3 linked regions of the Xenopus tropicalis genome follow. The protein of the gene in region 3 interacts with the protein of the main gene of each other region in a biochemical or structural test. Links are inferred from orthologs where the notes say so. Each region holds a gene or a part of one and is shown on either strand. Other genes may lie near its edges. The genes, in order: sin3a, max and mxd1.

Region 1 (4,326 bases), about 29 Mb from region 3:
TCATCAGCTGGAACTGGTGCTTTAGTCAAGGTGGATGGAATCATAAATAGCTCCAAGTATCAGCCTGTTTTGTAAAAAAACCTTTAAGAATCTGTCAGGAAGCTAAAGGTGAACTTCACCTTTCAGCATGACTCAAAGCATACATAAATCAACAAAGCAATAGCTTTACCAAAATCTGTGGGGTGACCTGAAGACAGCGGTGCACAGATGCCCTCACAATTTGACAGATCTGGAAAATGTTAGCAAAGAGGAGTCGGCAAACCTTGCAAAGTCTCAATGTGCCAAACAGATGGACCCAAAAAGACTGAGTGCTGTTAATAAAATCAAAAGGTGCTTCAACCAAGTTATTAGTTTAGGGGGTGCGCACTAATGCAACCAGGTTTTGTATGATTTGTTTCACTAAACTGTTGATTTGTTTTCAACTTCTTTGTACAGATCACAATTTTGTAAAAAAAGGTGGAATAAGTTCTTACAGATTTTATCTTGGTTTCTTTTTTTTTTTTAATTAACACAAACATGTGTTATGTATGTATACAGCGATGAATAGAAGAAAAATAATTTAATTAAAACAAACAAGGGGGTCATTACAATAATAGGTCAATAAATACAAAGTACGATTAATACTAATAAAGTACAGCTGTAGTAAATATGTCACAGAGCTAAGTAACAAAGAGACAAGAGTATGGAGATTCCTGTTCTGTACAGCTTACAATCTATGGCTAAGAAAACTTACAATATATTACAGTCAGTTGCAGAGACAAAGCAGTGCAGCGCTATATATTCTATTCCACATATAAGGTGCAGGGCAGACAATATGAAAGAACACAAAATAATAATCTGTCAATATTGTTATGCCTCTTTCCATATGTTTTCTGGGCTATTAAAAACCTAGACCTTTTCCGCTCGCTCTGCACCATCCGACAAACGTTTCCTATTCCGCGATTCAAGCACCGCACAGCATTCTGGGTTCCATAGTTTTCATCTATGTAAGTATTAAAAAGCAGTGCATTGTGGGCGATATCTTTTGTGTCGTACCTGCAATGCATTTTGGACGTTGTAGTTTTTTAAAAAAATTCTATATTGATTTGAGGTATGTCGTTACTGTGCACATTCAGCCCCTCCATATTCCTATAATTTCGCTCTTGTCGTCCAAAATCATTACGCGCACCTGTCACATAAACATATTTGGGATGCGCGCTGTAGCCGCGGTCTCTCACAACCTCCCGCCCAACAGAGCCCTACTACTTATGAAACAAATACAGCGGTCATTGAATCTGATAAGAGTTCTAAGTCAGCTTGAGGGCCGCGAGTAACACTACAAAATTAACATTAGACTCTACAAGCCTTAGTAAGGAAGGAGAGAACAAACAGCACCAGAGCCAAATGGGACGTGCCCTTCAAGGGGGCGGGTGGCTAAGCCCCCATGACGGAGCGCTGTCTCTATATGGCAAGAAGGCGGGGTCGAGTTTAAATGAGTTCCCCTCCCCTCTAAGGTTTTCTATGGTACACACCCACCCTCTTTTCTGTAGGGGGCTGGACTAGAACTAGGAGTCTTGGAAAAAAACGGGGGGGGTGTATCTATCCTAGCATAGAGTCCCTGACTTGGTGTGGCCGTATATTTATTTCTGGAAGGTATGTGCCTCTTGTTTATCCTAAAGGGAGCCATTCTTTGTTTGGACTGGGGCGCTGGGGTTGTAGTAAGGCCAGTGGGACACATCGAAGTGCTTGCCTTTTCGCAGATGGGGTCAGGCGGCGAGTTACGAGTCCAGCCGTGCTGCACCTCGTATGTACAGGGTGTCCGGATACACATTCCCCCGTGGCACCGTTCTCCAACCTGCGCCTAAACAGCTGCTGTTGGACTGGAATCCCCAGAGCCACGCGAGAGTTTGCTGCCTAATAGCTGTGGGTGGCGAGATCCCTGCCCTAGGGGAATCGATGGTGGCCATGTGGCTACCTGTCCAAATATGCCTGCCAATATGCTCTCATCTGTATAGAGATGACCGCCAGGCCGGGAGATGGATAGATGGAGTAGGGCTGAGACTGGGACAAATGTTATGCACCCGAGCCAGCTGGGCTGTTACTGCCCAGTCAGTTGGCATGGGCAAAGGCTGGTTTGTCCTGTCTGAGAGGGAAGAATTAGGGATCCCTTATGTTCTTAAAATGACCTTAGGTTTTTTTGGGGGGTGGGGGGTTAACGCAGTTCGTGGTGCTGGGGTTTGGGGGACCTACAGCGATTGATGGAAGGCGGAGGTTCAACGCTGACGCTTAAATCATTTGTGCCTTTAAGTTTATTTCTCCCCGAATATCACACGAGACCAAATTTTGGGAAAATGTGAGCTCGGTTTTTGCATGAGATTAATAGGAGTATAGACATGGGGTTTGGGGGGTGGTGCTTCATTGCAGTTAGGTGACTGTATTGTCTGGGAGGCAGCAGAAAACACCCCTGAACAGCCGCGCTATGTGGAAGCGGCTCCTAAATAGCCTGCCTTACACTACACTGTTCCATGTCTTCTGGTCAATGTACTATTAAATTTAATTGCCTTCTGCACGCATAACGAAAACTAGCCGCTATCACTCACGCTAAAACCTCTACTCTCTCCCTTCCTAACGCGCTTAATAATTCTGAGATGGTACGTGCCTCAGCTTTATCCTTTTTGGCCCCGCCCTATCTAAACGCTATTGGCCCTCTCCAGTACCTAGGCATCCTGTATTTTCATTGGGCAGAGTGATTGCACCGCCCTTATTCGCTGGCACTAGGCATCGACTCCGTGTTCTCTTCCGTGTAAGGCGTGGCTTAACACTATTGGTAGGGCGTGCATATTGCTGGTCACTCCTGGTCATAGGAAGCGGAAGCTGATAGCAGGCAATGGTTGGCTAGTTGTGTTGTACCCGGAAGTGCTGTCCAATAAGCTTTACTTTATGGGCCGACGTTAGCCAAGGGGCGGAGCTGAGGACAATGAGGCTGCTCTTCTTATACTCCTCCCCAGAAATGTAGCCTTAAGTTTCATATACGTTTATCGTCTTATTTGTCTCCAAACATTTTTTGATTAATACAATGTGTGAAAACAGTATAGACACTGTGGTCGGAACCCTAATGGTAGCTTATCCTTGATTTAGAGGCAATTCTGCAATCTGACATCAAGTTTTGTGTGTGCTAAGTACGAGAGAGAAAGGTTTGCATCTTGGCTATGAAACATCACACTTTTGATTAGTCAGCACCAGGCAGCATTGCTTTATCATAGGCTATAGACATTTTACTACGTTTATTTTAGGAATATAACAACTCCAACTCATGAATGGCATACTGAAACATTATAAATGCTGCTGTGCCTTTCTATGGACCTAATGCCCTTGGGATGTCGCAATTATGATTAAAAATGTCATACTATAGTGTTAAAGAAAAAAAAAATTTGAAATGTCTGGTGGAAGATGTAAACCCTAATAATGTGAACTTGTATGTATATTTACACTGCACTGCTTGTGCATGCTGTGCTGTACAGTAGGACAACACAATAATAGAACAATTTAGACAGGTCCCCATCAGGTCACAACAAGGTTACAGATATAGAAAATCAGTGTATATTCTTATAAATAGTGGCATTAGTTATAATTGGTCATACACATTTTTAAGAAATACAATTTTTCTTTAAAAAAAAGTACATTTGAAATAACATTTACGTTTTATGACTATAGAAACACAACTTTAACCTGTTATATTGCGCCTTTTAAAAGGGTATGGAACTCCTGTTTTACAAAAGAGACTGCATTAATCCCTACATAAACTTGCTTCATGCACATCTATAATCTAATTATACATGACATCCATCAACATGCTGTGAGATTAGATCAGCTCATACAAACAAATTATGGAGTGCATAGAAAACATACATCAGAACTGTTTTATACCCAGTTCTTAATCAGTTTTTAAAAAGTGTCACATAACCCAGGAAATCAAGAGGCCATGTGCAAGAAATTGGTAGGGAATTCATAAAACAGATGTTAATTTCACTTTGTCGTGTACAAAAACGGCACTGTCAATATTGCATTTTTGCGTAACTCCCTTTCCCAGGAGGGTTTAGGCATTCCTTTATACTAAGTTGGTTAGGTTGTTAAGGTGGCCATACATCCATGGCCACCTCTGTATATATCTGCAAGTTTGGGCCAAATGATGACAGCAGAAAGAAGTAAAGAAAATCTGCAGATTCTCTTTTTACTTGACTAGTAAAAATGTTTCTGATGGATTGGTAATCCTCAACTCATCAGGATTATGTGCCTGAATGGCAACTAGCCATATAAATTTATTTGGTAGTGTGGTCGAAATCAGGC
Region 2 (4,333 bases), on a different chromosome or scaffold from region 3:
CAAATTCTGGATACATTACCAGCAACTCTAAGGGCCCTGGCACACGGGTAGATTAGTTGCCGGTGACAAATCTCCCCGAAATGCCATCAAACCGGCAGTTCCTCTCAAGGCAACTTCCGCGATTTCAGGGAAAACGCGGCGCCGCGTATGCCATCCCACCGGCGATTTACATTTTTGCCAGTGGGATGGCATTTCAGGGAGATTAGTCGCCCATGAACAGGGAGATTTGTCACGGGCGACTAATCTCCCCGTGTGCCAGAGCCCTAATAGTACAAAGCCATGAACACTACTAGTATTCCAGGACAGCCTACTGCCTGGATGTGGTCCTTCTTAAAGGGGACATGATTACTCTGTACAAGTACATTAGAGGGGATTATAGGCAGATAGGGGATGTTCTTTTTTTCCCATAAAAACAATCAACGCACCAGAGGCCCCCGCTTTAGATTAGAGGAACGGAGCTTCCATTTGAAGCAGCGTAGGGGGTTTTTCACAGTGAGGGCAGTGAGGTTGGGGAATGCCCTTCCTAGTGATGTTGTAATGGCAGATTCTGTTAATGCCTATAAGAGGGGCCTGGATGAGTTCTTGAACAAGCATAGTATCAAACACTATTGTGACACTAATATCTACAGTTAGTATTAATGATTGTATCTATAGTTTATGTATGTGAGTGTATAGATTGGTAAGTATAGGTTGTGTGTGCTGGGTTTACTTGGAAGGGTTGAACTTGATGGACAATGGTCTTTTTTCAACCCTATGTAACTATGTAATATGAACAACTATGCCTAACATCACCATTTCCTACAATCTGATCCTCTCCAAAATATTTAATATCAAGGGTAATATAGAAAAAAATGGACAACAAACAAGCAAGCCTGTCTCACTGGGACACCAAACAACCAGTGGAGAAATGATGAAGCTCCGCCCGCCCCCCCCATGAGTCTGGCCAACAGAAATATATACAGACACCTGTTCATAGTATAACCTCTGGCTGTTACCCTTCCAAAATAATAGGGTATGCATACACGTTTGTTGCCCTTCACCGAGGTGTCTATCTTACCACCCTGCAGTTATTGTTGGATAGGTACCAACAACATAGAAAACAGGTCAGTAATAAAGGCACTAGTCCCAGAGTCCCATGCCCACCATACAGAGCAGGTATCATTACACATCTACTGGGGCTGCCTGGTGTGTATGCGATGTTTACACTAAGGGGCACATTCATCAAAGTACAATTGAGTGTGAATACAAAAAAAATTGTTTTAGAACTGTGCGTTTTTTTCGCAACTTTTTCGTACTTTCCAACAATTTGCACGACAAAATCGTATTTGTCGCAACGAGTACAAAAGTTTCATTATTCATTCAAGCTTCAATATCGTGACTTTCCTTGGGCCAGGTTGGAGCTGCAGAGTGCCATTGAGCCCTATGGGAGACTTTCCTTGGGTCGGGTTGGAGCTGCAGAGTGCCATTGAGCCCTATGGGAGACTTTCCTTGGGCCAGGTTGGAGCTGCAGAGTGCCATTGAGCCCTATGGGAGACTTTCCTTGGGCCGGGTTGGAGCTGCAGAGTGCCATTGAGCCCTATGGGAGACTTTCCTTGGGCCAGGTTGGAGCTGCAGAGTGCCATTGAGCCCTATGGGAGACTTTCCTTGGGCCGGGTTGGAGCTGCAGAGTGCCACTGAGGCCTATGGGAGACTTTCCTTGGGCCAGGTTGGAGCTGCAGGGTGCCATTGAGCCCTATGGGAGACTTGCCTTGGGCCGGGTTGGAGCTGCAGAGTGCCATTGAGCCCTATGGGAGACTTTCCTTGGGCCAGGTTGGAGCTGCAGAGTGCCATTGAGCCCTATGGGAGACTTTCCTTGGGCCGGGTTGGAGCTGCAGAGTGCCATTGAGCCCTATGGGAGACTTTCCTTGGGCCAGGTTGGAGCTGCAGAGTGCCATTGAGTCCTATGGGAGACTTCCAAAATCCTCCACTGAAGGGTCAAAGTCAGAAAGGTTTTTGAGCCGTTTACGATCGTACGGATACGAAAATTTCGTAACTTTTGCATCGTACCACGATATTTTCGCACAAGTACAACGCGACTCTTCGCAAAATTAACGCACATTAGAAATTTTTGTATTTAATGCGAATTGTCGCCAATTATACTCTTAATTTGTAATTTAATGTATCGGCCCCTATGTGTTGGTGAATGTGATAGGGACCTTAGATAGTAAGCTCCACTGGTGCCAGGCTGATATGAATGATGGGATACTTCAGTGCTATATAAATAACAATAAACCCCAGACTGATGAAGGTACCCTGGGCACTGAAGGAATGCTGGGGTCCTAGTATATAATAATATCATAATGGGGATATTGATTTAAGGACCCTCCAGCTGTTGGGCTGCAGCCCTCCCATCCCTGCCAGGGGAGATGCTAAGGATTGCAGAGCAGCTGGAGGGCCGGTGGATGCTACAAGTTATACTACATACAGTGCAGGAGGGATACAGAGTCCTAACAAATAAAACAAGATGCCCTGAGATACTGGAAGCCCAGGACAAATGCCCTCTCTCTGCCCTACCCGAAAACCTTCTCCGTATTGCTGAGGATGCTGGGATTTGTAGTGCAGCAGGACCTAGGCACACACAGAATAGGAAACACTGTTCCTGTTACAGCTAGAACCAAAAGCGGTGATCCCTGCTAAACAGACAGTTGCCCCCTCTCCAAGGGACAACACAGCCACCCCCGCCCCCACCCCATATAAAGCCAAGTTAAAGGGAAGCGGAACCCGCACTCACGTCGCTTTCCACCTCGATGTCATCGTTATCGCTCATGCTTTCCTATAGTGATGGGAAGGAGGGGAGAGGCTGCTCGGGCCTGAAAACAAACACTATGGGCAAAAAGAAAAAAAAAATAAAATCCGAATTAAGGGAGGGAGAGAGGGGGGGAAGAGACCCTCTCTGTGCCCAGGAAAACACACCAACGGAAGCCACACGTGACTCCACACTGCTAGGGATCATTAGCCAGAGCTCTAGCCTCTCAGAGAGCCGGCCCGCTGCATGCTGGGAAATGGAGTTCACTAGGGCCGGAAGCGCTCTGCCAGCTTATGCGCCTAAACACGGAAATTGACTACAACTCCCTTATAGCCTTGGGAGCAAACAAGCTTTACTGCGCAGGCGCGACGTTCCAGGCCGCTGATGGGATTTGTAGTCTACACAGGTAGCGGCTTCCCGGAAGTGGGCTGGAGACACGTGTATAGACGGGAAGCTGGGCGAGTTTGTGTTTGTGTGACTGGGCTGCTGTGGCGGCTACGGGCTTGTTGTGTAGTGACAAGGGAAGGGCCTGCGGGGGAGATGGGAGAGAGGCTTAGGGAAGTAGTGGGGCTTTTCATCTTCATCCGCTTTGGACTAATACAAACTGATATTATATCGTTTAGGGGTGTATCTCAAGTCGTAAGCGTATTTATGTATATCACATCTACAGTTTGGTTGTTCCGGGGGCAGAAATTATATGATGGGAAATGACGTTTTATGCCATTTCTAACAAAAAGATACCGACACCAAGCGTGTTGCTAACGAAGCAGATGCCATAGCAACCTTTTCGTGCACCTGTTGTCAGCTCGGCAGATATAGAGTATAGAAAAGCCCTGCGTGGTGCCTACTGTATTGTGTGAAATAGCTGAATAAAGCAAAAAAAAAAAAATACTACCCTTTACAAGCTTAGATTGTAAGCTCTACAGGCTTTCCTACTGTGCCTCATACCAAATGGTGCTTAATCTCTGTGTATATATACTTATTTGTTATGTTTTTTATAATATGTGCCTTCCCCGTGTGTACTGTTATATGATTGTACAGGTATTGGATCCATTTTCTGGAAACCTGTTATCCAGAAAGTTCCGAATTACGGAAAGGCCATCTCCCATAGATTCCATTTTAAACAAATGATTCTAATTTTTAGAAATGATTCCCTTTTCTCTGTAATAATAAAACAGTACCTGTACTTGATCCCAACTAAGATATAATTACCCCTTATTGGGGGCAGAACAGCCCTATTGGGTTTATTTAATGGTTAAATGATTCCCTTTTCTCTGTAATAATAAAACAGTACCTGTACTTGATCCCAACTAAGATATAATTAATCCTTTTGGATGGAAAACAATCCTAATGGATTTATTTCATGTTTAAATGACATTTTAGTAAACGTAAAGCATGGAGATCCAAACTACGGAAAGATCCCTTATCCGGAAGACCCAAGGTCCCGAGCATTCTGGATAACAGATCCCATACATGTACATCTCTCCACATTCCTGTAGCGCTTTATAAAGTTATACAAACGTACAGGCCCCTTGTGTATTATTCAGC
Region 3 (2,862 bases):
TTCTGTGCATTGCATTATATAAATGTTTCATTAATTGGGATTCATACTTTATAAATTAAAAGGCTTTACATAAACCTTCCCCCTTACTTTACTCTCCAGTTCATATTTTTTGTTATGTGTAACTGAAAAGCATATTGTGCCATGATTGTTTTTCTAATGTGGATGTAATTATTCTTTTTTTCCTGTTTAGACGAGCCCATTTAAGATTATGTCTGGAAAAGCTAAAGATATTGGTTCCTCTTGGACCTGAATCCAATAGGCATACCACATTAAGTCTATTAACAAGAGCAAAGTCGCACATTAAGGTAAGCTAAAGTTATATTATTTTTTTAACGTGTGTGTGTCTATATATATATATATATATATATATATATATATATATATATATATATATATATATATATATATATACATATATATATATATATATATATATATATATATACATATATACATATACATACACCAAATACTTATTATTTCTTTTGTTCTTTCTCTTTTAAAGAAACTTGAAGATTGTGACAAAAGGTCTCTGCACCAAATTGAACAATTGCAACGAGAACAGCGACATCTAAAAAGGCAGCTAGAAAAATTTGGGGTGGAAAGGACGCGCATGGACAGTATAGGGTCAGCTATGTCTTCAGAACGATCAGACTCGGACAGAGGTAACTTATACCCCATCCCCCTTTCAGTTTATTGTTTTATATCAACAGCAACAACAAAAAAATAGATTTTCTTAATAAACTGTTCATAATCTCTTTGCATTATTTTCAAAAATCTTGATTCATTCAGTTAACTCGTGCTTGGCCTAACTGTACAGTTTAACACAGTGGTTTCCAGTAGATGGTCCCTTTGTGCTGCGCTGCGGCTCAAATAATTGGAGACACACCATTAACCCTTTATCTGCTACCTGCAAATATATTATTGTGTGCATGCATTGCATGTTTGCATGCATTTCCCATGTGTTTCATTAAAGGGGTGGTTCAACTTTGTTACCTTTTAACTATTCATAATAACCTTTGTAATGGCTCTTCATTAATTATTTTTTTTCTTTTTTTTTTTAATTATTTGCATTTCTCCTCTGCATCTTTCCATTTTTTAAATGGGGGGTGTGGGGGGGGGGTCTACACACTCCTATTCATATTCTAGTCTCTCATTCAAACCATTGCCTAGCTTCTAGGGTTAAAACCTCAGTAACCATATAGCTACTGAAATACCAAACTGGAGAGCTGCTGAAAAAAAACACTGAATAACTAAAAAATCATAAAAAATCAATTGCAAATTGTCTCAGAATATTACTGGATACATCATACTTAAAGTTAATTTTTGTATTTGTCAGTACAACTGAAAGCTGTATTTCTTTGCTTTGGGTTTATTGCTGACTCCTGGTACTTTATTTCCACAGAGGAAATTGATGTGGACGTAGAAAGCACGGACTATTTAACTGCAGATCTGGATTGGAGCAGCAGTAGCAGTAGTGTGAGTGACTTGGATGAGAGGGGGAGTATGCAAAGCATCTGCAGTGATGAAGGATATTCCAGCTCTGGTCTTAAGAGGATAGAACTACAGGACAATCCCAAAATTACAGCTCTTTAAACAGCCAATCAGAGAAGATAAAAAGGGGAGGGGGGAAGGATGGTTGCGAGAGATTTCTAGCAGTTCGTCACACTACTCCCAATTGCTCTCACATCAGACACTGTTATCTATTGGCTTTCACACCATTATCTTGCACGTGAACTTGTAAACTCAGACCTTCCAGCAGTCTGTTTCCCTCCCCCCTTTTCCGAAGGAGCTGTATGGGTTTCAGTTTACACTCAATATCACTTGCTAACCCATCAGCCAAATCTACTCGAGAAGACCACATTCCAGAATCACCAGGAAGCACTCAAGAGGAAAAAACTATCTATATTATTTACTGGAAATGGTTGTTGGCTGATAAACAAGATAACAATATTCATCCAGCTGGTACCTGGTCTATTGCCGGTACAATTGGCCCAGTTAAAAGGTCATAATATCTCCCAGCAACACCAAAACTTTTTTTTTTTTTTGCTTCACTTCACATCTGGAAAATGGTATGAAGGAATATGTCAAAAGAATCTTGCTATACGGCAAGACCTTTAGTTTACAGCTACTATAATATCCAATAAGAAGCCACCAAGGAAATCTGGATGGGACTTTGAGTCTTGATTCAGTGATTTTGGCTTAGAACAGTGAGAATGCTGCTATTATATTTTTTCACAGAATCGTGCATCTAATGCACCAAACCCAGCACAGTCTAAATTGCAACGCTGGCGCCTTCTAGCCTTTATTCGGAGATCTATAAAGCCACTTGCTATGTCTATTATATTGTGTTTTTTGTTATTGGTGTCAGTCTTGCTTACTTTTCATAATCGTTATCTGTTGCCACAGCCTCTCCTCTACAAGCTGATGTTTTTTTTTTTTTTTTTTAATGATTCCATGTTTTTATGTAAACCTGTTATCATTTTGTAACTGGAATCTTACCCTTTTCTGTTCACAAGAAGACTTCCAGGCATTTTTCATTTGCCTTTCTATAGCAAGGGAAGAGTAAATTAATGGAGCCTGAAAGGTTTTTCTATATGATATCAGTGCTCCTTCTTTTTTTTCAGTGTATTTGCAGTACCAGAATCTCTTGCTGTTTTTCCCCAAATGGCAGTCAAGTTTTAGTTTTTGTTTTTATCCCTAATCTAAAGAAATTCACCTTGAAAAGAGCATGCACTACAAAAAAACTGCAAGCAGGCCTTCATCGTCCTTAACTGAACATAACCCACCCAGAATGCTAACGGTTGGATTTTTACCAGGCAGTGTTTGGGACACGCACTTTAACATTTTCGTAGCTAGATC

The links.
Region 1: the proteins of mxd1 (region 3) and sin3a form a complex in vitro, tested with the Homo sapiens proteins (4 studies listed by BioGRID, with this or other methods). The link is inferred for Xenopus tropicalis from reciprocal best matches to the Homo sapiens genes MXD1 and SIN3A.
Region 2: the proteins of mxd1 (region 3) and max form a complex in vitro, tested with the Homo sapiens proteins (4 studies listed by BioGRID, with this or other methods). The link is inferred for Xenopus tropicalis from reciprocal best matches to the Homo sapiens genes MXD1 and MAX.

Annotation. Positions count from the first base shown.
Region 1 is NC_030679.2:93,378,715-93,383,040, forward strand, and holds the start of sin3a (paired amphipathic helix protein Sin3a), read left to right. Parts: upstream 1-1,526; 5' UTR 1,527-1,632; intron 1,633-4,326. UniProt on the Homo sapiens protein: Acts as a transcriptional repressor. Corepressor for REST. Interacts with MXI1 to repress MYC responsive genes and antagonize MYC oncogenic activities. Also interacts with MXD1-MAX heterodimers to repress transcription by tethering SIN3A to DNA.
Region 2 is NC_030684.2:119,935,290-119,939,622, reverse strand, and holds the start of max (protein max), read right to left. Parts: upstream 2,949-4,333; 5' UTR 2,807-2,948; coding exon 2,771-2,806; intron 1-2,770. UniProt on the Homo sapiens protein: Transcription regulator. Forms a sequence-specific DNA-binding protein complex with MYC or MAD which recognizes the core sequence 5'-CAC[GA]TG-3'. The MYC:MAX complex is a transcriptional activator, whereas the MAD:MAX complex is a repressor.
Region 3 is NC_030679.2:121,959,050-121,961,911, forward strand, and holds the end of mxd1 (max dimerization protein 1), read left to right. Parts: intron 1-190; coding exon 191-305; intron 306-505; coding exon 506-665; intron 666-1,405; coding exon 1,406-1,596; 3' UTR 1,597-2,344; downstream 2,345-2,862. UniProt on the Homo sapiens protein: Component of a transcriptional repressor complex together with MAX. In complex with MAX binds to the core DNA sequence 5'-CAC[GA]TG-3'. Antagonizes MYC transcriptional activity by competing with MYC for MAX binding.